Linked DNA regions of Mus musculus. The protein of the gene in region 1 interacts with the protein of each later gene in a biochemical or structural test. Links are inferred from orthologs where the notes say so. Each region holds a gene or a part of one and is shown on either strand. Other genes may lie near its edges. The genes, in order: Nub1 and Ubd.

Region 1 (10,670 bases):
CACTTGGTTCTGAGTTGAGGACTGCAGGGCTGCCATTTGAGCAGAATCAAAAACATGCTTGCCGTACTTCCCAGCATCCATGGGATCCTGAAGCTAGGGCTATCCTATACCACTGTCTACTTGCGGGCATTGAATGAGTGGCATGTCCTGGTTCTCCTTAACCCTGATGGAAGCTGAAGAAGTGAGACAAATAAACTAAAGGGACACTTGGGATGATGGCCGGCCTTCACTGACCAGCACCCAAAGGAATGGAATGTATAAAACACGTGTTCTCTTGGTGCAATGTTCCTCCTGCTTCCATCCCTCAGCTAGCCACTGCAGTACCTTGGGCATGTCTGTGGGCACCAAGCTGCAACCTTCTGAAAGCTGCACTACATCTAAGAAGCCCCCGTTGTCTCTGGTGTAGCAGTGAGCCCAGCATGCCTGCCACCCCACCCTCCAGGCTTCCTCTTCTCTGCTGTAAGGGGAGGACAGGCCAGCTGCCTAGCTTACAGGATGGCTTGAGTGCATCCAGAAGCAGGGTAGGTGAGAGGGCCAGACCTGCAGGCACCCAGCTCAGATACTCACTGACACCTCAGGTCTCTACCAGTGACATGCAAGCGGGTCTCCAACAAGCTTTTCTTATCGTGCTGCAAAAAGAGAAAACAAAAGGCTTGTGTGTGACACTCCTTTGAACTGTTGCCCTGCATGAAGTTGTAAGGTGCTGTCAGGATGCAAGCACAGTGTTCTACTTAAGGACCAAAACACTGTCTGAACGGAGAAGCATGCTGAACATGGTCCAGCACAAACCAACAGGGTGACCTGATTGTCCTATGGCTGCTCAGTGGGATTTGTCACATGCCAGCCACCATCATAATTGAATGGAGATGGCTCAGTGGATGTGTCTATACTCCTTTTATAAAGGACCCGAGCTTTCTTCTTAGCACCCATTTCCTCAGACTCAGAGATCTCCCTGCTGCAGCCTCCTGGGTTAAAGGTCTGCACCACCACCACCCAGCAAAAATAAAATCTTAAGAGAAGAAAATGTTTAATGGAATTTCTGAACCCTCCCTCCCATCTCATCACCCCTCACAAGGCACCATGTCCAGCACCCCATTCCTCTTTTCTCCAGCCTTGCAACCATTATTTCCTGTCTCTGGAGTTGTCTGTTTTGGACACTGCACATGAGCAGAAACATACAGCATCGGTCCTTTCTGCATGTTTTTGAGGTCCTCTCCTATTACAGACAATTAATGTCGAATATCTGTCACACCAGTCATCTTCTGTGGCGTGGATGCTCTGCTCATCCACACAGTCACTGACACAAGTTGGGCTGTGTCTACCTTAGCCTGTGGTGAAGGCTCACCTGTCAGTTTATTCTTACAACATCTGGTGTGTGGTGGTTGTACTTGCTAGTGTGGGTGTGTAAGCAAGCACACACATGCTTGATGACAGGTGTCCTGTCTTGATTATTTTCCACATTTTCATGTTATAATAGTCTCGCATTGATTCTGCTGGCCAGTGAACTTCAGAGCTTCATACACATCTCTGTGATGCTGTACCAGCCAGTGCTGGGGTTGCAGGGCTTTTTACAGGGACTCCAGAGTCTTCATGTCTGCACTGACTGGGTCATTTCTCCAGCCAACTCTCCCTCCTCGAACTTGGCTTTTCTGTAGTAAACCCTGGTCACTGGTCTGGATGAAAAGAGCCTTCATCTGCTAAGTCATCTCCTGGCTCATGTGACATTGTTTCTGTTTTGCTTTCCAAAAGAGAGGGTCTCATGAGCTGACCTTGAATTCACTGAAGACAACTTTAAACTACAGGGAGGCCCTGGCTCCCAAGGGCTGAAATGACAACATACACTATCATGCCTCACTTCTGTGGCCCATGCTTTGAAGGCCAGACATGAACAAGCCTACCTTAAATGTGTGAAGATAAGTTTATATCAGCAACCATTCAACACATGGAGTTCCTTAAGCACGTTTACAAAAAACAGTTTGCTGAGCATGTGTCTTTTTTTTTTTTTAAGATTTATTTTTTTTTTATTATTATATGTAAGTACACTGTAGCTGTCGTCAGACACTCCAGAAGAGGGAGTCAGATTTCATTCTGGATGGTTGTGAGCCACCATGTGGTTGCTGGGATTTGAACTTCAGACCTTCGGAAGAGCAGTCGGGTGCTCTTACCCACTGAGCCATCTCACCAGCCCTGGGCATGTGTCTTTAATCCTAGCAGAGGCAGCAATCTGGTCTACATACAGGACAGACAGGACCACCCAACACAAAAAGATCCTGTCTCAAAAAGCCAAACCAAGCAAACCAACAGCACAACCACAGCTCATCTGAGCACAGCAAGGCAGTCCCAAAGTTACTCACCTTCCGGAGCCTTGGAGGCAGGAACACCTCAATGGTGGCGATCCCAGTTGTTCGGTAGTGTTCATTCCCAGTGCCGCGCTCAATTGCTTTGCGTCGGATTTCCTCGATTATGTTTTCCACTTCGTTTTCACAGCACTCCAGCCGCTCAGAGTACTTCTTAGCAAGGTCCTATGAGGAGAAACCAGAAACAGGTCAGGGGAGATCCAGTGCACACACAAGAAAACTGCATGTGTGCGTGTGTGTATAAATATAAATATATATAGATAGCTAGTTCCCAAAGCAACGTTAATTCTTACTAGCAGATGCCCCCACTGTACTGAAACTCAATCTGGGCTCTCAGGGAGGATTCAGGGAGAAATTTAAAACACTTATAAACAGTAAAAATAGGTTTGCTGGTCAGAGTGAGAGTAACTGGGACTATTCCAGAGAGGTGGAAGGGAGGACTGAGAAGTCTGTGACCTTAATAGACTAAGAAATTACTTTAGGAAGCAATGAACTTAGGGCTGTGACAATGACAGCTCAGCAAGTAAAGGCACTTGTGGCCAAGCCTGACACCTTGAGGTCAATCTCTGGGCCCTACAAGGTAGTGGGAGAGAACCAAGTCCTATAATTGAATTCTAACCTGCACAAGTGTGACATACACACACACTTTTATTTTTCAGTTGTGGAGGCTGAAGAGATGGCTCAGAGGCTAAGAGCATCTTTGATTTTTTTGTTTTGTTTTTTGTTTTTTGAGACAGGGTTTCTCTGTATAGCCCTGGCTGTCCTGGAACTCACTTTGTAGACCATGCTGGCCTCGAACTCAGACATCCACCTGCCTCTGCCTCCCCAAGCGGTAGGATTAAAGGCGTGCACCACCACCACCTGGCTGTTTTTTATTTTATTTTAGGATTATTTTGTTATTTTGTATATGTGAGTGTTTTGTTTTCATGTACATCTGTGAACCACACATGTGCCCAATGCCCAAGGAGGTGGTAAGCCTACTTGTGGGTACTGAGAATTGAACCTGGGTCCTTTGTAAGAACAAGTGCTCTTAACCACCAAGCCAACTCTCCAGCCCTATGGTTTGTTTTTCTTTCAGTGACAGACCAAACATAAGCCAGTGTTCTCATAATATACAGTGCATAAGAGCCACTTTTAAAAGGGCTTGTTTTAGTCGGGCAGTGGTGGAACACGCCTTTAATCCCAGCACTTGAGAGGCAGAGGCAGGCGGATTTCTGAGTTCAAGGCCAGCATGGTCTACAGAGTTAGTTCCAGGACAGCCAGGGCTACACAGAGAAACCTTGTCTTGAGGTGTGAGGGCTCCTGTGGAGACCTTCTAGAAGGCAGCAGATCCCTGGAGCTGAAGTTACAAGCAGTTGTGAGTCACCCCATATGGCTGCTGGGAGCTCAACTGTGATCCTCAGCAAACCTTTAACTGCTGAACCTTCTCTCTAGACCTAGAAGAGACCATTGTAATGTCCATGTTGCATGTCTGGGAGATGTTGGTGTGAACAAGTCTACTATGATGCCCGTTCTGTCAAGCACAGGACACAGTATCAGCACAGCACACACATACTGCTTCATGCGAGCACATGGCTACAAAACCAGCCTTGGTTCTGTTAGCTTGTGCTCCTCTGACTTTTCTGAAAGAGTTTACTCTGAAGCGTAGTGTGTAAGTATTAAAAATCAATCTACAGTACTGCTGGCTACTCTTCGGCTGTGGTGGTCTCCATACCCCCATGGCTATCCTCAAACCACAGTCCACCTAGTTTCCCAAAGGTGTTCGCATTCCCAGTCATCCATCCCCTGCAGCTAGTCTATCACGACCTGCTCTAAACCCTGAGCCCTATATAAAGAAAACTCCAGAGGCTTGTAATTTATCAGTCAGAATTCTCACCCACAAAACACCCACACAAAGAACTCAAAACTCAACTGATATAGATACAAGCTGCACACCTAGATCGGACAAAGTACCCTATATTATTCTATTGTTCTCCTATGATCTCCATAGCTACCTATGGCTATTTCCAGCCATTTGGATACACTTCATCTTACTCTCCTAGAGGTTCCATCCACTCTCCCTGTCCCATCTCTTCGCCCGCCTTCTTTTTCCACTGCCCAATCACAGGCTCTAGCCTTATCTTTCACCTGCCCTCACCTCCGCATAGGCAACAATCTACACTCAAGTAGTGTGGAGGCAGCAGCAACCTCAGACCCCTAGAGGGTGGGATGGAAAGCATGCAGCTTCTAATCAAGGCTTCCTCCTTCTGGCAGCTACTTTTCCCCTAAAACTATTAGGGCCTCCAAGCCTCATTAGGATGTAAGATCCAAGACTGTTCGATCTGCCAGGAACTGGAGATTAAGACTAGAGTCTTATTTATAATGTCTCATTAGTTCAAGCTAAGACACCATAGCAAGCAAGTTCAAATGACTTTAAAAATAGCACATCCAACCGGGCAGTGGATAATTATACTGTTAGGTTTAGAAAAAAAAAACTAATAAAACCATAAGAATTGCCGGATAGTGGTGGCACACACCTTTAATCCCAGCACTGGAGAGGCAGAGGCAGGCGGATTTGAGTTTGAGGTCAGCCTGGTCTACAAAGTGAGTTCCAGGACAGCCAGGGCTACACAGAGAAACCCTGTCTCAAAAAAACAAACAAAAACCCCAGCACATCAGTGTCCAGGTTTGCCTGTCTTCCAAAGGCTGTGTTAAAGGAGTAATGTGCAGGGCGCTGGCAGCTCTGCATGGTGGGAGGTTCCTAAGGATAAGGCCTTCAGGGACACATCATCCCTTTCAGCTTCCTGGTTTAGGAAAAGAGTGTCTTCCTTCACCACTGGGGCCGCCCTGAGCCATGTGGTTGGGTGGTGTGCCTGAGGCAGGAGTTGATTCACACCTGCTTAGGTGAGTCACAGGGCTCTGAGGCTGCTGCTGCCTCCACACCTCACATAAATCTTTTTTTCAGAAAAGAGAGGAGCACAAGCCACTGAACCAAGGTTGGTCTCACAGCCACACCTCTCTGTGTGTGTGTGTGTATGTGGTCTCACAGCCACATCTGCTCTCACTAGGAATCAGCCCGTACAGGACTGCCTGTCCCAGCCTCAGTTATCATCTTTGCCCTGAGGCTTGTCACAATGTGCCACCCCAGACAAAGTCCCAAGGCTTCAGGACCACTCAAGCTTGAGGAACTTCAGGAAACATAAACCAAGCTACTGTGTTATAGTTAAGAGGACTAACACAATGCCTGGGAGATCAGGTAACATAAAAATGAAACGCCAGCTTGTGGGGAGTGGCTTGGTAGCAGGGAGCTTGCATACACAACCTATATGAAACCCTGGGCTCTGCCTCTGCTGCTGAAAATTAAGTAGAAAATTGTTCATTATAATGGCTCTGGTGTGTCTCCAAACTTCACAGCTGTGCCTAGTCCTTTCTGGTGACTTCAGAAGAGTATTTACTAAGTAGGCTTTGACACTGCAAAATACCTTTACGGCCAAACCAACTTCCTTATTTTCTTTAGTATATGGAGGTTTCCAAAGTTGAATTCTGTCTTCCCTTAGAAACTGAGTCAGTTTTGCTTGAAGATATTTCTTCTGCGCCATCCTTGAAAGTAAAACTGTAAATCAATAAAAGCCACATCACATTTTAAAATGCTTTACACATTACTAATCCACTAAGTAGTTAGTGTTCCCCTCCGCACCTCAGTCAGCTTAACCTGAGCTATTATATCCAATTATATGCAAGGCAGTAGATTTTTATTGTTCCTTTGTGTCTGTTTTTTAGGACAGGGTTTCTCTGTACAGCCATGGCTGTGTTGGAACTCGCTCTGTAGACCAGGCTGGCCTAGAACAGAGATCTGTGTTCCTTTGCTCGCTTGAGTACTGGGACTAAAAGCACCTATAACCAGCCCCAGTGTACCATGCCCACTTCCAACTGCTAATATGTAGCAAGGAATAGCATGCTGTCCTGTTTGTGTTAGAAGGGAGCAAACCAGGGCATTCTGCACTATGAGTGCTGGGTCCTGTTCTACGCAGCCCAGCCTCACCTCTCCACTTCTTACCCTGTTATTCTCAGAAAGACAAGGAAAGAGGCTGGCCAGACATCTCAATGGTTAGAGCACTGGCTATACTGCCAGAAAGAAGTCAGTTTGGTACCAAATACCCCCATGGCAATTCACAATCATCTGTAACTTCAGTTCCAGAGGCATCCAAGGCCCTCTTCTGGTCTACATACATACACGCACGCACACACACACACACACACACACACACACACACACACACAAACACACATATACACATACATACATACATACAGGCAGAATACCCATACACATAAGAAAGACAAGACAAACCCTTTAGTAACCCAATCTGTACTTTGTAAATTCTCTCACACTTGGCCACTTTAACTCAAAGCCTATGATTCAGCACAAGAGGAGCACATCTGAACTCTGACCTATCAGTACTAAATGCTCATACAGTTCAACTCTGAAGGACAGTTAGCGAGGTGTGGTGATGCACACCTCTACCCCAAGCTGTTGGAGGGCAGACAGGTAGATCTCTGAGGTCCAGGCCAGCCTGTCAAAAATCAGTCAGGCAATCAATAAAAGAATTTATGTGGTGATGCATGCCTTTAATCCCAGCACTCGGGAGGCAGAGGCAGGCGGATTTCTGAGTTGAAGGCCAGCCTGGTCTACAGAGTGAGTTCCAGGACAGCCAGGTCTACACAGAGAAACACTGTCTCGGAAAAAAATAATTAATTAAAAAAATAAATAAATAAAATGAAAGAATTTACAGCACTGCACCATTTCAGTCTTTGTTGCTTTGTTTAGTTTGAGATTTGTTTGTCTTTATAACTTGTTTCTTGGTTTTGTTTTCGCTGGTACTTCTGAGAGCACAATAGCACATCTCACTAGATTGATGTTGAGGCTAAATCACTTTGCTGCTGGAAAACCCCAGGCCCAGGTTTATAAAACCACAAAATGAGCCCAGGCCAGAACTGGCATGAGACAACTGCCTACGACATGGACTCTAGCTTGTCTCACAATCCTGTGCTTCTTGTCCTCAGCACTTCCCCTTTCTTACACAGGAGGTGTGACATAGCTTCCACAGGGTGGGGGAGGCCACTGAGAGCCTGGGGCAGCTGGTAGTCAAGTGTTTCAAGGCTTGCCAAATCAAACCAAATAGGAAGCTGCTCACTCCTCATTGGTGAACATGAATTCCAGAGAATGGAAAATATGTGAATTAATAACTTAAGTTTCAGCCTTCTAAACAGAATCCACCTGATCTTCAAGCCAACTGTGGTGACTTAAGCATTATTCCATAACCATGCTTTCAAAAGGGTGCTCAGATCTGAGATCGAGAAACAGGTCATCAGGATAGCCCATGGAGTAAACATTGTGTGTATGCATGTCAGACAGGGCGAGAGGGAAAGAGAGAGACAGAGGGAGGGAGAGAGAGAGAGAATGAACATGCTGTGTGTTTTTACTCACAAGCTCACCACAAGGCACTTAGGAGCCTTACAAATACAAGTCTATTAAACCTCCAGACACAGGACTCAAATCTATAGAAAAAAAATTTTTTTTTTAATTTTTCGAGACAGGGTTTCTCTGTGTAGCCCTGGCTGTCCTGGAACTCATTCTGTAGACCAGGCTGGCCTTGAACTCGGAAATCCATCTGCCTCTGCCTCCGGAGTGCTGGGATTAAAGGCGTGTGCCAGCACGCCCAGTTTAGAAACTGAGAAAAAGATTACTGCCATCTCCTAAGGAGGTGGCAGGGATAATTTACTAGTACCCAGCTATTCAGAAGGTTGAAAACAGCCTTTCAGACTGTACCCAGTCCACTGTCTGATAAAAGAAGCCAAGGCTATCACAACCCTTCATCTGTGCTCCACACTGTTGCTAGGTCTGCATCACGTAATATTTATTTATTTATTTATTTAGGTTTTTTGAGACAGGGTTTCTCTGTATAGCCCTGGCTGTCCTGGAACTCACTTTGTAGACCAGGCTGGCCTCGAACTCGGAAATCCCCCGCCTCTGCCTTCCAAGTGCTGGGATTAAAGGCGTGCGCCACCACGCCCGACTAAGTTTTTTTGTTTTTGTTTTGTTTTTTTTAAAACCATGACAGAGTCTCACTACTCAGCTCTGTCCTGGAACTTACTATGTAGACCAGGCTGGACTTGAACTCACAGAGATCACCTGATCATCTCTGCCTCCTAAATGCTGGGGCTAAAGGTATGCCATGCCCAGATTAACATAAAGATTTAATGTTGAACAAAATTAAACCACCGGCTTGATTATAGTTTTGCTCGCCTTTAGCGAATTCCAGGACAACCAGAGCTACATAGTGAGTCACCATCTCAAAAAAATTAATTAATTAAATTAAACCACTGTATTCAAACCTATGAAAATCCAGTTACAGGTACCAGAATGACATGTGTTAGGTCAAAAGGAAGAAAATCTAACAGCCCAGTTTTCAATTTTAATTGGAGAACTGTTTCATGTGTGTTGCTGGGCGTTCCAACGCAGAAAACACGTAAATCATCAAGATCAGCGCTCTGAACCGAAAGTGAAACCTTAGGCATCAATGTTGAAAATACCACTTTCACTTGTAGATCAATCGAGATTGCATACAACCTTACGCACATTCAACACGTTCCCTCTCGGGGAAATGACATGCCATTAGGGCCTCCTATTTAAAAGCAAGGGAAGGAGGCGAGGACAAGTGTGGGTCCAGAAAGCTTGCGTTCTCACACCCCGCGTTCCGCTGTCAGCCCCGGCAGTCAGCTCATCCAAACTCAAGCTGCTGGCTGGTGTCCATCCCTTCCCCTCCGCCCCGCCGCGACCCCCTCCCGCTTCCGCCCCAGCCCGCCTCGCCGCGTCCGCCTGGCCGCTCCTGCCCACCGAGCCCACGGCCGCCCCGGCCGCGCTACCAGGCCCAGGCCCAAGGCCCGGTCGCTGCCGCAGCCGTCTCACCTGCGCCACTGCCGAGCCAGCTGCGACCTGCCGAGTGCCCGGATGCGGCAAAGGCCGCCGTTTGTTTTCATTCCGGGTGAGGCCGGCCCCGCCCCCGGCTCCGCCCCCTCGCGCTGTCCGGAAGGCCGGTCGAGGACCGGAGCTGCATGGAAGGGTGGGGCCAAGGGGCTTGAAGGGCGATCTGAAGCATCGAACGGAAGGAAGCCCTGAAAACGCGGCTGTGGGCGGGGCTAGTATTTAATGGGCGGGGCTGATATGGGGCGGGACAACAGAGTAGATGGAAATAGGGAGAGTGTAGCTAGGGCGGGGCTGACGTGTAAGGGGGAAGAGAGACAAAGTGGTTGGGGCGAGGGCCGCGCTGAGGGTCAGGCGATCTGTGGGCGGGGCTGGTAGTTTGCGGTGGAGCGGATGTGGGACCGGGCGAGGAGGAAGATGGAGGCAAGGGCCGACTGTAGGTGGAGCTGTTAGGTGGAAAGGCAAGGCTAAAACTGGTCAAAAGCGGTGGGAGGGGGTCTGCTGTGCAGGGGGAAGAGGCGTGGTGAGGAATGGAAGTGAGGCAATGCTAGTCTTCAATCACGAGGTCTTCGGACCACTCCCAGACCGAGTTTTTCAGAGTCAGAGGAAAATGAGTCTGCCTTTATTTATTCCCCAAAAGCCTTGACAGAGCAAGACCTGTTTTCCTGAACCTTTTCTCGTCTTCCCTCTACTAGGCCTAGGGGATCCCCTAGACTAAAGGATTCTCACACTACCCTCCACAATCCCACCAGGATCCCCGCTCATGGTGAAGTTAGGTACGCTACCCATGCCTCCCTCCAGCGGCTACTCCCACCATGAGTACAGTAGATAGAGACATCTGCTTTGCTCAGCGCTGTGAAAAATGCATGTGCCCTTATGTCTATGTAAGGGAACAATCCAAACGGGCATAAAAAAATGAAGACGCCGGGCAGTGGTGGCGCACGCCTTTAATTCCAGCACTTGGAAGGCAGAGGCGGGGGATTTCTGAGCTCGAGGCCAGCCTGGTCTACAGAGTGAGTTCCGGAAAGCCAGGGCTAAACAGAGAAACCCTGTCTCAAAAAGACCAAAAACCAAAAACCAAAAAAAAAAAAAAAAAAAAAGGCCTTTTTTTTTTTAAATACTATGAGAAAAGAAACAATGCTCTGGTGTTGAGCCCCATCTTGCTGCAGACTGTGAGAGGAGGCCTGAGCAAGCCTGCAGGAGCCTAAGCAACCAGGAACCCCAGCGAGGAGTTTGCCAATTGCCAGCCTGCCAGTGAAGCTAGATCCATCATTCAACACCCGCTTCCCACACACGTACTGGAGAACCCAGAGCAGGCCTGCTTAGTCAGTCCAAAAATGCCTGGCCTC
Region 2 (11,031 bases), on another chromosome or scaffold:
TGAAGGAGTCAGTTCTCTTCCACTATATGGATCCCAGAGTTGAAACTCAGGCCATCAGGCAGCAAGGGCCTCTACTTGGTAAGACATCTTGCCAGGCCAGAGGGCTGTGGTTCTTTTTAAATTAAAAGCACTAAGTGTGTTCACAAGTTATATATGTGATATCTGTCATAAAGCATGCATAGAAAGACTCTTGTGCAAGTTTTATCTATTCTATCAACCATGATAATTTCTGTATCCCCCAGATTGTTGAATTCAGTATCAATACCTAGAGCCTTGAAATCGAGGTCCTTTTTGTTTCTTGCATTTCTTTTAAATTTGTTTGAGAAACAGTTGACAGGAAAGCCCATGATAGACCCAAGAAGTCAAATTCCACCACCATTTACACATGACAAACTTGAAGGAGAATGATATGAAATGATTTCTACATCTCAAATAACCAACCAGACACTGTTGTTTTAGCTGAGTACAGTTTGAGGCCTGAGGGCTCCTCATTTCTGGTCTGATAGGAAGTATTCCAGTATAACATGTTAAAAACAAACTCACAGAGTAGGAGCATAGCTCAGTCTGAGCATGCTTAGCATGTGCAAGGTCCCAGATTCAATCCCCAGCCCAAGGGGGGGGGGGGCGAGGCACAATAAACTTTAAACGGGTTTATTTGAGCAAATAGCTATTTCTGAATCAGGCAAAAGTGGTTCAGTGGGCCACAGCCGGGAAACATAGGGAACATTTTGATAGGATGAACACAGAAGTAAAACAAAGAAACATTTGGGTGGATGCTGGACACTGTAGCTCATGATTATAATCCTAGCTCTCTGGAGGTTGACACAAGAGGATCAGGAGTTCAAAGGCCATCCTCTGCCTCTCAAGTAGAACTGAAGGCCAACCTGGGCTTCATGAGGCCCTACTGGAAAGAAGGGAGGGCGGGAGAGAGAGAAGCAGGCAGGGAGAGAAGGAAAGAAACCTCAAGACAGGCAGAGACAACGGAGGCAGAGAGGAAGGAAAGGAGACTAAGGACAAAAATATTTGATTGGCTACAGTTACCATATTTGGTGTAGTCCAGTGGAAACTATAGCTAGATATTTCTTGGCTCCTCCTATCAGAGCGCACTTGGCTTTAACTGTTGCATAAACAGAAAAGTGGATGATACTGCTCCATCTAGTCTCACTCAGGCTTAACTCTTAGACAACGCCCACTTTTAAGGAAAACTGGGGGCGGGGTGCTCAGAGTGGAGTATGCCCTTCTTATACAAAGTATCTTTATAGCTGCCCTTAGGAGGAATGCTGAATTTCTTCCTTAATCCCTGGAAGGGCAACCAGAACCAGGAACACAGACCTGGTTAGCTAGCGATAGACTTAGGACAATTTGATCTTGTAAGTTGTGTCTAATTGGCTCACCTGTTAAGCACAGTTTCTATCCCCCTTGAAGGACTTGTAAAGGAATACTGGGATGTGGCTATGTAACAAAACCAAAACTTGGGCATGTGCCGAGTTTATCCCATATTGGAGGTTCTTGTTTGTTGTGGTTAGCGGTAAGACAGGGTTTTACTATGTAGCTCTGGCTGGCCTCGAACTCACAGAAATTTCTGGCCTTTGCCTCCCAGCGCAAGGCCCGCAACACTGTCTAGCATTAAATATTTTTGTCTCGCCTTCCGAACCTTCTTGGAGTTTTCCCCCTCAGGCTAACCACAGCTCAGCGGAGCGCTTCCTACTGCTGGGTTTCAGCGACTGGCCCTCTCTGCAGCCTGTCCTCTTCGCACTGGTCCTTCTCTGCTACCTACTAACGCTCACCGGCAACGCGGCGTTGGTGCTGCTGGCCATTCGCGACCCTCGCCTGCACACACCCATGTACTACTTCCTTTGCCACTTGGCTCTGGTGGATGTGGGTTTCACCACTAGTGTGGTGCCACCGCTGCTGGCCAGCCTGCGCGGCTCAATGCTGCAGCTACCGCGCGCTGGGTGCATGGCTCAGCTGTGCTCATCGCTGGCGCTGGGCTCCGCCGAGTGCGTGCTGCTGGCCGTCATGGCGCTGGACCGCGCGGCTGCGGTATGCAACCCTCTGCGCTACACCTCACTGGCCTCGCCGCTACTGTGCCGCACGCTGGCCGGAGTCTCCTGGCTCGGTGGCCTGGCCAACTCCGCGGCGCAGACCGCCCTGCTGGCCGCGCGTCCCCTGTGCGCACCCCGCTGTCTGGACCATTTCATCTGCGAGTTGCCGGCGCTGCTGCAGCTGGCCTGCCGCGGCGGCCGCAGCGCCACCGAGCGCCAGATGTTCGCCGCGCGTGTGGTCATCCTGTTGGTGCCTTCGGCGGTCATCCTGGCCTCCTACATCGCCGTGGGCCGCGCGGTCTGGGGCATGCACTCCAGCTCTGGCTGGCGGAAAGCGGCGAGCACATGTGGCTCTCACTTGACCGCGGTCTGCCTATTTTATGGCTCTGCCACCTACACCTACCTGCAACCCACGCATAGTTACAACCAGGGCCGTGGCAAATTCGTCTCGCTCTTCTACACGGTGGTCACTCCCGCTCTCAATCCTCTCATCTACACACTGAGGAACAAGGAAGTGAAGGGGGCGGCACTGAGGCTCTTGCGGAGTCTGGGGAGGCCATAGGTGGGACAGTGAAAAAACTGAGAAGGGCTCAGAGTCCTGGAAATAGGATGCTCATAATTTTTGTCTGTGCATAAGGATCTGCAAGTTTTGTGCTCCGTGAGTTCTGGGTTAGTAGCGAGATTCTTTTCTCTCACCGGGTAGGGTTTGAATTCTTGCGGGGTGCGGAGAGGGGACTCCTGAAATATATAAACACTCTTAAATGGTGATGTGGTAAATGGCTCTTGGGACTCTCAGTAAGGAGGGAAGCAGGATGCAGGAGGGGGTCAGATGCACTCTGAGGAGACTTTGTACCAGCCCTGAAGAATCCACCTGGAGATAAGATGATGAGCACCCTGGTGCTGACCTTTATTTTTTTCTCCAGGCTTACAAAAGACCTTAAAAAATTCCATGACCTCGCCCATCAGGTGGAGTCTCTCTCGGGTTAACAAAGAAGTTATGGGCCCCACCTTACAGAGATCTCTTCCAGAAACAAGACATGGTTTCCATTCTTGGGGAGCCAGTCCAGCTAATGCAAACCTAGCCAGGTCACCATGCCCACTACAGAACGTCAAAGAATGTCTGCAAATAATAGGCAATTGTGCTGGCCCTGGTTAAACTGGGACTCCCATCTGCCGGATAGGATAAGGCTCTTCCCCTTCCTTGCCCACCCGACACGTGGAGAGGGTGTTAGGTTTTATTTCATACCAAATATCTTTAAGAAGATGATGACTGAATTTAAATAATTTATTAGACTATGATCCAGTTATGGTAAACAATCATATTCCATAACACATTCTTTCTCTATACTCTATAATTAAAATTCAATTTGGTTCAACAATCATTCATTGATCCACCTTCCCCTGCATCCCAAGTCCTGGAATTAAGTTTGCACCACCACACCTGACTAAAGGTTCAGCTTTTGCCCTCATCAACAACCCTGCGAATGAACTATGTTAGAAACAAGATTCACAGACTTGACAAATACTTTTAATCTACTCCACTTCCCTCAAATATTTATTTCATTCTCGTTAATTTTTTATATCATCAAGAGATGTGATTGGTAATAGCTCAGAGGAAATCGGCTTTGAGCTTCTCATCACCGCATCCCCGTGGTCATCCCCCAGTGCAGTGTGTTGTCAGAAAGAGCAAACTGCCACTCTTGATGTTGTAGTCAGCCATGATCTTTCCATCTTCCAGCTTCTTTCCGTTGCAATTCACAACCTGCTTCTTAGGGATCACAGAGGTCACACTCTCGATCATCTCTTTCACCTGGGCCACTGAGCTGGATCTTCGAACTCGGAGGAGGTGCCTTTGCCCCTCGTTTTTGGACTCCACCAGAAACAAGGGCAGCTCTTCATCACTGGGCTTCACCACCTTCAGGGTAAGGTGGATAGTGGTTTCCTTGTCAATCCCATAGGATGACAATTTTCGATGGGGCTTGAGGATTTTGGAGTCTAGCAGAAGGATCTGGTCCTGTACAGAGACCTTGGTTTGGGACCTAATATGTTCATTTATCTTCTTCACTTTGTCATTCTCAGTGGTCTCAAAGGTCATTAACCGCCATTGGTCTGAACGGACAACCTAGGCAAAGAAAGCCAAGAGCGTCATCTAAGAACGCCTGCCACCCTCTACCCCCTACTCCTCAGCTTCACTGTTCTCCTGGTTGGCCCTCTGGCTCCTTCTCAACAGTCTGCATCTCTCCCTCTCTTGCAACTTTTGATTCCTACATCATAACCCAAATCAGAACATCGGCTTCGTGAAACTATAGGGCTTCAAACGTTGTATACAGATCCCTAAGCAAACCCAAAGAGGATTTCCAAGATTTGGCAGCCTCACAGAATGCTCTCAGCCATGACTCACCCTCTGTGACTAATTCAGAAAGAACCCTAGTTAAGACATAGTCTCTACACTGCTGCGTTCTTATTAATGTTCCCGTCCATTTCTGGTAATGTCCATGTTGTGGTGATGCTGTGCTTAATGGTGTTAATGTGTATCTCTTGTATTTTATATCCATTGATATAGAACATAATATCCTTTTTAAATTAGACCAGGATCCCATTCACAGAAGACAAAAACTATATCTGAGTTTAACTTCATTTACTGAAGAATTAAGTTAGGGAAGAATCAGGCCTGTAAACTTTATGAAAACTTCCTCATACTCCATTCAAGGAACCTTCCCAACCTAGATATTCCATATTCTTCTTCAGTTTTGTCTTGTATTGGACATTGCCCTAATTGCACATTCTTTACATTGGAGCATAACCTGTTTAAGGTAATGTGTTAGTTATGTCACCAATAACAAGAAAAACAAGTTTTATGAAGTTTTCCTTTGAAAAGAGAGAGACGCTTAAGGCTGAGAACTCTGTAAGTTATTTTCCTAATTTCACATCTTGCCAGCCTCATGAAGCAAAGTGTCCTACCATTTCTCCTAAGTGGGGATGGCAAAAATGGCTCAGCTGTTTAAATAAATAACAAATAAGTAAATCAATCAATCAATCAGTCAGTCAATAAAATCTCTTGCTGCCAAGCCTCACCTTTAAGCTTGATCCCTAGAACCTATGTGGTGAAGAGAGAGAACTGACTCCTGAAGGTTATCTTCTGGCTCTGACCCACCATATACATGCACACATATAATAAATAAAATATTTTAAAAGTTTAATAAGTCAAATGACCAACCTCTCTTCAGAGTACCCTCTTCCTATTGTGCAGTTATCAATGTCTGCCTTTTCTCCTAAATGTTTCTCACCCAACTGCCTCACCTTCTAGACCACTGTCCCCTCCCAAGTTGTGGAACTGTACCCCCAATACATGGAAATACTTTTCCTTCCCATTCGTTTACCAAACCCCAACTTACACAGGTGCGGACAGAAGCCATGTCTGTAGTCAGAGGCTGAATAAGAAAAGAGTCCTTGTGTCTGCTTATATGTGAGTAGCTGGGTTGGAAATCCCCAAGTTCAATGTGTTGTCCAGTTTAGCAGCAACCTTTGTTCTCAATAATTCCTTTCACTTTTGCTGGGGTAGAGTTCATAATGGACACTGTTTGTACACAGATTTCTCCCCTTAGCCAATCTATCTGTATTCCTAGTTCTGTGCATAGAATAGTCATTCTAAGATAGGAATTTTGCCCAGGCTGAAAATCCCCCTACCTTCTCCCAATCCTGCCTTAGTTCTGCCCAGCTACTACTAATCTTCCACTAGCTAGCTTGATAATTTGTGATGCTTGCTTACCCTCCCTCACTGCCTAAATGAGCCTGGACTGCAGCTGTGACTTGGTGTCCTGGGGTAGGGTACCGCTTGCTACATACATTATGTTGTAAAAATATGTTCCCCTCTTTTAATATAGGTTAACATAGAAGGCCATTCCTGGTGTCTCCCCAGCATATAGAACCTTGCTTATAAAGTCTTTAAACACACACACATACAAACACACACACACTTACTTTGGATTCTTGGTTCTTGAACCTCTAATACATTTCCCAACCTGACTCAGAATCTGCAAACCAAACATACTACTTGAGAACAATCCAAAATCAACAGTTAAATTCTGACTCCTACCTTTCTCCATATGTGCACCACAGTTCCTGGATTCCCACCCCCACCCCCTTGGCTCTCAGATGCCTCCTCTCCCTGAGGCCAGAGACATGTGATGGTGCTATTCCCTCACTGTTGAAAGTTGGTTGAATGAGACCAAGATTGTGACTGAGCTGTCTCCTCAAGAAACCTGATACTCCTAATATTCCAAGTTTGACATTGGCTTCTGAGGTAGGACACTCCATGAAACTAATTTTCAAAATTGTTTATTAAACAGCTTCAGGGGTTCTCCCCCCCCCCCAAAGAACTCTGTAAATTTTCCAAATTATTCCTCTTGTTTTCTGTACTTGAAGTGGCTATGTACTCATCCACTGAAAAACCTTTTTTTCTTTTTTTGATCATGTTTTCCCCTCCCCCAATTCCTCCCAAATCTTCCTTCTCACCTCCCTACCCGCCCAACTTTACGTTCTTTCTCTGTCTCTCAAACACACACACACACACACACACATTCAAAAATGTAAAAACAAATAAGCAAAAGACCATAAAGACCATGAGACAAAACAAAGAAAACAAAAACCTCCAAACAAAGCAAAAAGTCTACAAAATATACCATCAGTCAGTAGTGGGCCAGCTACTTCTGGTTATGTAGCCTGCCCTAAAGTATGATTAATTTACCTAATGAGACTCCATTGGAGAAAGCTGATATTTCTCTTCACTGGGCAGTATCAATTGCAGAAACTTCTTAGGAATGGGACCCCAATGTTCACTCCCCCCTTTAATAACACCTTAAACTGTGTCATTTTATTTTAGGGGGTTCCATTCTGAAGAATTTGGCTTACAGAGTACCTGTGCTGAATAAGACAATCAAAAAGGTTGCTTGATTCAAGGCCTGTGCTATAATGAGGTAGAATTTCTAAAAGAAATCTTCCCAAGGTAATGGACCTGCCTTTGTTGCCCAGGTAAATCAGAGACTGGCCAAGATATTAGAGATTGGTTAAAAGTTACATTGTGCATGCAGGCCCCAAAGCTCAGGACAGGTAAAAAAATTAATAAAACCATTAAGGGATCCTTACCAAATTGACAGCGGAGACTGGCGCTATGATTAGATAGCTCTCCTACCCTTTATGCTCTTCAGGGATAAAAACACCCCTGGACAGTTTAGACTGACCCCCCTATAAATTACTCTACAGGGGGCCCCCTCCACTGGTAAAAATAGCCTTTGTACATGGTGCTGACATGCTGCTTTCCCAGCCTTTGTTCTCTAGGCTCAAGGTGCTCCAGTGAGTGAGACAGGAGCGAAAAAGCAGCTCCAGAAGGCCTACTCAAGAGAAGAAGACCTGCTACATTAGACGTCTCCACACAGAAAACCTTAAGACTCCGGTGGAAAGGCCCTTATCTTGTACTCTTGACGACCCTACTTTCTACCTTTATGGGACCTCTTTTGATTTTGCTTCTGCTTTTAATTATAGGTCCATGTGTGTTAAATAGGCAAGTCACCTTTATTAAAACAGAAATGAGTGCAATGTGGCTTTTAGTTTTAAGACAACAGTACCATGCCCTAAAGTAAAGGATCAAGTATGTCAGGAAAAAAATAGTGTCTAGTTCTAAGATTAGAACTACTAACAAGTAGAAGGGGGGAATGAAAGTATAACAACGTAAAAACAGAATTCTAGGCCTTTAGGCCCAGGCTTGGGAATGTGGCCTTTGTAAAGGTATGCTAATCAAAAAAGAGAGCAACATTCCTCTACCCACCCGCTTCCTGGGTTCAAAGAGTGCTCATTCAAAGAAAGTCACCCTGGCCATTACCAGAACCTGCAATGCAAATGTGCTATTGTTAGAGGCTCTTAGAAGCTGTCTTGAGAGTTAACAATTACCAGGTATTCCTTGTGACTCTTGTAACTTTACACTTCCTTGTGACTCTTAACTGGTATCTTTGGTATCTTCCAACAACGCCCTCCCCACTTCCTTAAGTTTCGGTTTCTTTAAATACCCCCTTACCCAGCTACTCGGGGCGCCACGGTCCTCTACCCCTGCGTGGTGTATGACCATGGGCCCGAGAGCGCTCTTGAATAAAAATCCTCTTGCAATTTGAAAAAAAAAAAAAAAAAAAAAAAAAAAAAAGGTTGCTTGAATATTTCAATATCCTAATGAAAATTGCATTTGAAGCTCTTATTAGACAGTCATTAGCTAAACTAAAATTATTAGTGTATATGGTAGAGTAATATACTTTTTTAAACTCATAGCACGAAGGGAAAAGTCCCTTGTAGAATATTCTGGATGCCACTGGCTTCGCTGTTCTGTCAGCTTTCTCCAGCTCCCTGTTCTCAAGGATTAACATTCCAGCTTCTGACCTTTAGTTGCCACCATTGTCCAATAGGAACTTGGAATTCTGAAGCATCATCAGTCTCCAGCAGAAAACATCATCTCAGATTGAAGGTGAATAGAAAACCACCTTGCAGTGAGGCATCAGGGAGAACCTGGCAGAAGAGACCAGATAAGCTGCCAAACCTGGTCTGCAACAAGCTCCCTTCACATTCTAATTCCTATCTGCAGTCACTATTTTCTTATACATTTGTTCAGAATTGTTTGGGCCAGAGCCTGGGCTGTGCAGCCCTAACAACCTAGGCTTGGCCACTCCTGTCCTCCACATGCCAATAAACAAGTAACGGTGACAAGCAGAGAAAGGAGATGTATTCAAAGGGGTCATCACAAGAAAGAGAAACTGGGGGCTGGAGAAATGGCTCAGAGGTTAAGAGCACTGACTGAGAATTGATTGACTGAGTCCAATTCTCAGCAACCACATGGTGACTCACAGCCATCTATAATGGGATCTGATGTCCTCTTCTGGTGTGTCTGAAGACACATACATACATACATGCATACATACATACATGCATACATACATACAATAAATCTTTGAGAGAGAGAAAAAAAAAGAAAGAGAGTTTCTAGGGAGGTTCCTCAAGTTCATCTTCAGGTCCCTGCCTATAACAAGCTAGGCAAACTCATGACAAGAAGTCTTAGCCAACATGTGGTACTTTCCATTATCATTACCTAGGTTATAGTCCACCCTACATGGTAGTCTGGTTATAGTCCATCCTACATGGTAGCCTGGCAGGTTGTCAGAACTGTGTGCAATCTCTTTCCAGAAGACAAGCTCTCCTCTCCACAATCGGGGGTGGGGGTGGGGCATCAGGATCCAGTCTTTCCCTTTTCCCAGAATGAGATTCCTGGGGAAATTCAAATTTGGGTTTCAATAGTCTGGTCGCTAAAAGGAGGGATAAATATCTCTTTGAGTATTTTTGTTCCTGCCAGAGGGAGAGCAGATGTTAAAGTGTTGCTTAAAGCTACACGCTATTTTCATCCTTTGTCCTTCCTTGTCCATGACTGTGCCAGCATTTGGAGTCACAGGTAGCAAGGACCCTTGACCAGAGCTACCAGGAGAGCACGTTACCAGGTTCCAATTCCTAGATAGGACTTTTGTTAGGAATGATTTTGTCAGCCGAGACTACAGAGCTGTGTCACCGCAAGTCAGCAGGTCTAGCTTCATCACTACAATCCCTCCATTTTCCTGAGCACATGGAGCTCTGCCTCCTCAGCCAGTGAGCATGCCTCTCCCTCCAACACTACCCTAAACACCATGAGCATGAGTAAGAACACAACAAAGGCAACATTGCTTCAGGAGCCCCTACTCCTCTCTAGTTCTGGTTTATCCTCCCATACTTCCCCCAATGTCTTTTGAAGACCATGTCTCTAGCAATGGAATCATCTCCTTATATATTACCCCAGTAAGCACTTGAAGACCATGATTGTGTTCTAGTTCACTTGTATCTCCAGTGGCTGCCCAGCTTGTAATCTGGCACTGAAAGAATAAATAAACAAATGAATGAATAACAAAAAAGTAACGTTCAGTGAGAATTTATATTTCTGAAATGGCGTAAGATTGTTTAAACATGATATCACTTGCTTTTTCATATCCTGGTGAAGTACTGGTATTTTTAGGGATAAACCAGACAACCCAGAACAGTCATGGGAGTACTAGCCACCAAGTACTAGTACAAGTACTAGTCACCAAGATCCCAGTGTACATCTTTGCTACTCGAGTCCTTGGCTTCTAATCATATTGTTGTTGCCTCCAAAGGAAGGAAAGAGAAGAAGAAACACTCATGGCAGATGGGGGTTTCCAGTATGGAGTGACAAGTCGGAGGGCAATTCTGGTATGTTCCTGGGAAAAGCTACCTCAAGGGTTTCCCCACCAGAGAAGACCTAGATTCTCAGAAATGGGGTGTTTTCAAGTAATTTAAACAATAGAGCTGAACTCTGACCCCTTCTCTTCCTCCCGTCCCTCTTCCTTTCCACCATTTCCTTCTCTTCATTTGATTTCATAGATTGAAATTACAGCACCAAGAAGACTTGCATGAAGAAGTATTTATAGATCTCAAAACCAAGCAAACTATCCCAGGAACAGAGAAAAGGAGGAAATATTCTGAAATTCAGGATATGTTCACCTAACAGAAATAAAGCTGAATCTAAATGCTATGAGTTACTTGAAAGTATTTAAGAGGAAATGTGACCCTCACAGTCACACTGACATTTTTTGTCTTCCATTCAGAGATAAGCTACTGCTATTAGCCAAATTTAATTTTTTTAAAGTAGTTTATTCCTTAAGAGATACAAGATGCACTTAATTCTATTATAGGTAAAATTATGCTTTAAAACAAATATTCCAAAGTGAAGTTATCACAGGCTAATTGACTAATATAACATTTTGGACCACATAGCTATTATGTAAATACACAAAACATAATAAAGTAAAATTATTCACTGCCTTGGCACATGTTGTTGTCTCTCTTTGCCTCTTAGACATGTGGGTACAAGCTAAAAGATACACAGAGGTTGTATGCAGCTCAGTGA

Evidence for each region.
Region 2: the proteins of Nub1 (region 1) and Ubd form a complex in vitro, tested with the Homo sapiens proteins (6 studies listed by BioGRID, with this or other methods). The link is inferred for Mus musculus from reciprocal best matches to the Homo sapiens genes NUB1 and UBD.

Annotation. Positions count from the first base shown.
Region 1 is NC_000071.6:24,684,659-24,695,328, reverse strand, and holds the start of Nub1 (NEDD8 ultimate buster 1), read right to left. Parts: upstream 9,515-10,670; 5' UTR 9,378-9,514; coding exon of another isoform or gene 9,307-9,377; intron 5,950-9,306; 5' UTR 5,937-5,949; coding exon of another isoform or gene 5,936-5,936; coding exon 5,819-5,935; intron 2,523-5,818; coding exon 2,355-2,522; intron 630-2,354; coding exon 568-629; intron 1-567. UniProt on the Homo sapiens protein: Specific down-regulator of the NEDD8 conjugation system. Recruits NEDD8, UBD, and their conjugates to the proteasome for degradation. Isoform 1 promotes the degradation of NEDD8 more efficiently than isoform 2.
Region 2 is NC_000083.6:37,188,382-37,199,412, reverse strand, and holds Ubd (ubiquitin D), read right to left. Parts: upstream 5,522-11,031; 5' UTR 5,462-5,521; coding exon 5,441-5,461; intron 4,168-5,440; coding exon 3,700-4,167; 3' UTR 3,312-3,699; downstream 1-3,311. Other genes in the region: Olfr94 (olfactory receptor 94), read left to right, coding at 1,447-2,607. UniProt on the Homo sapiens protein: Ubiquitin-like protein modifier which can be covalently attached to target proteins and subsequently leads to their degradation by the 26S proteasome, in a NUB1-dependent manner.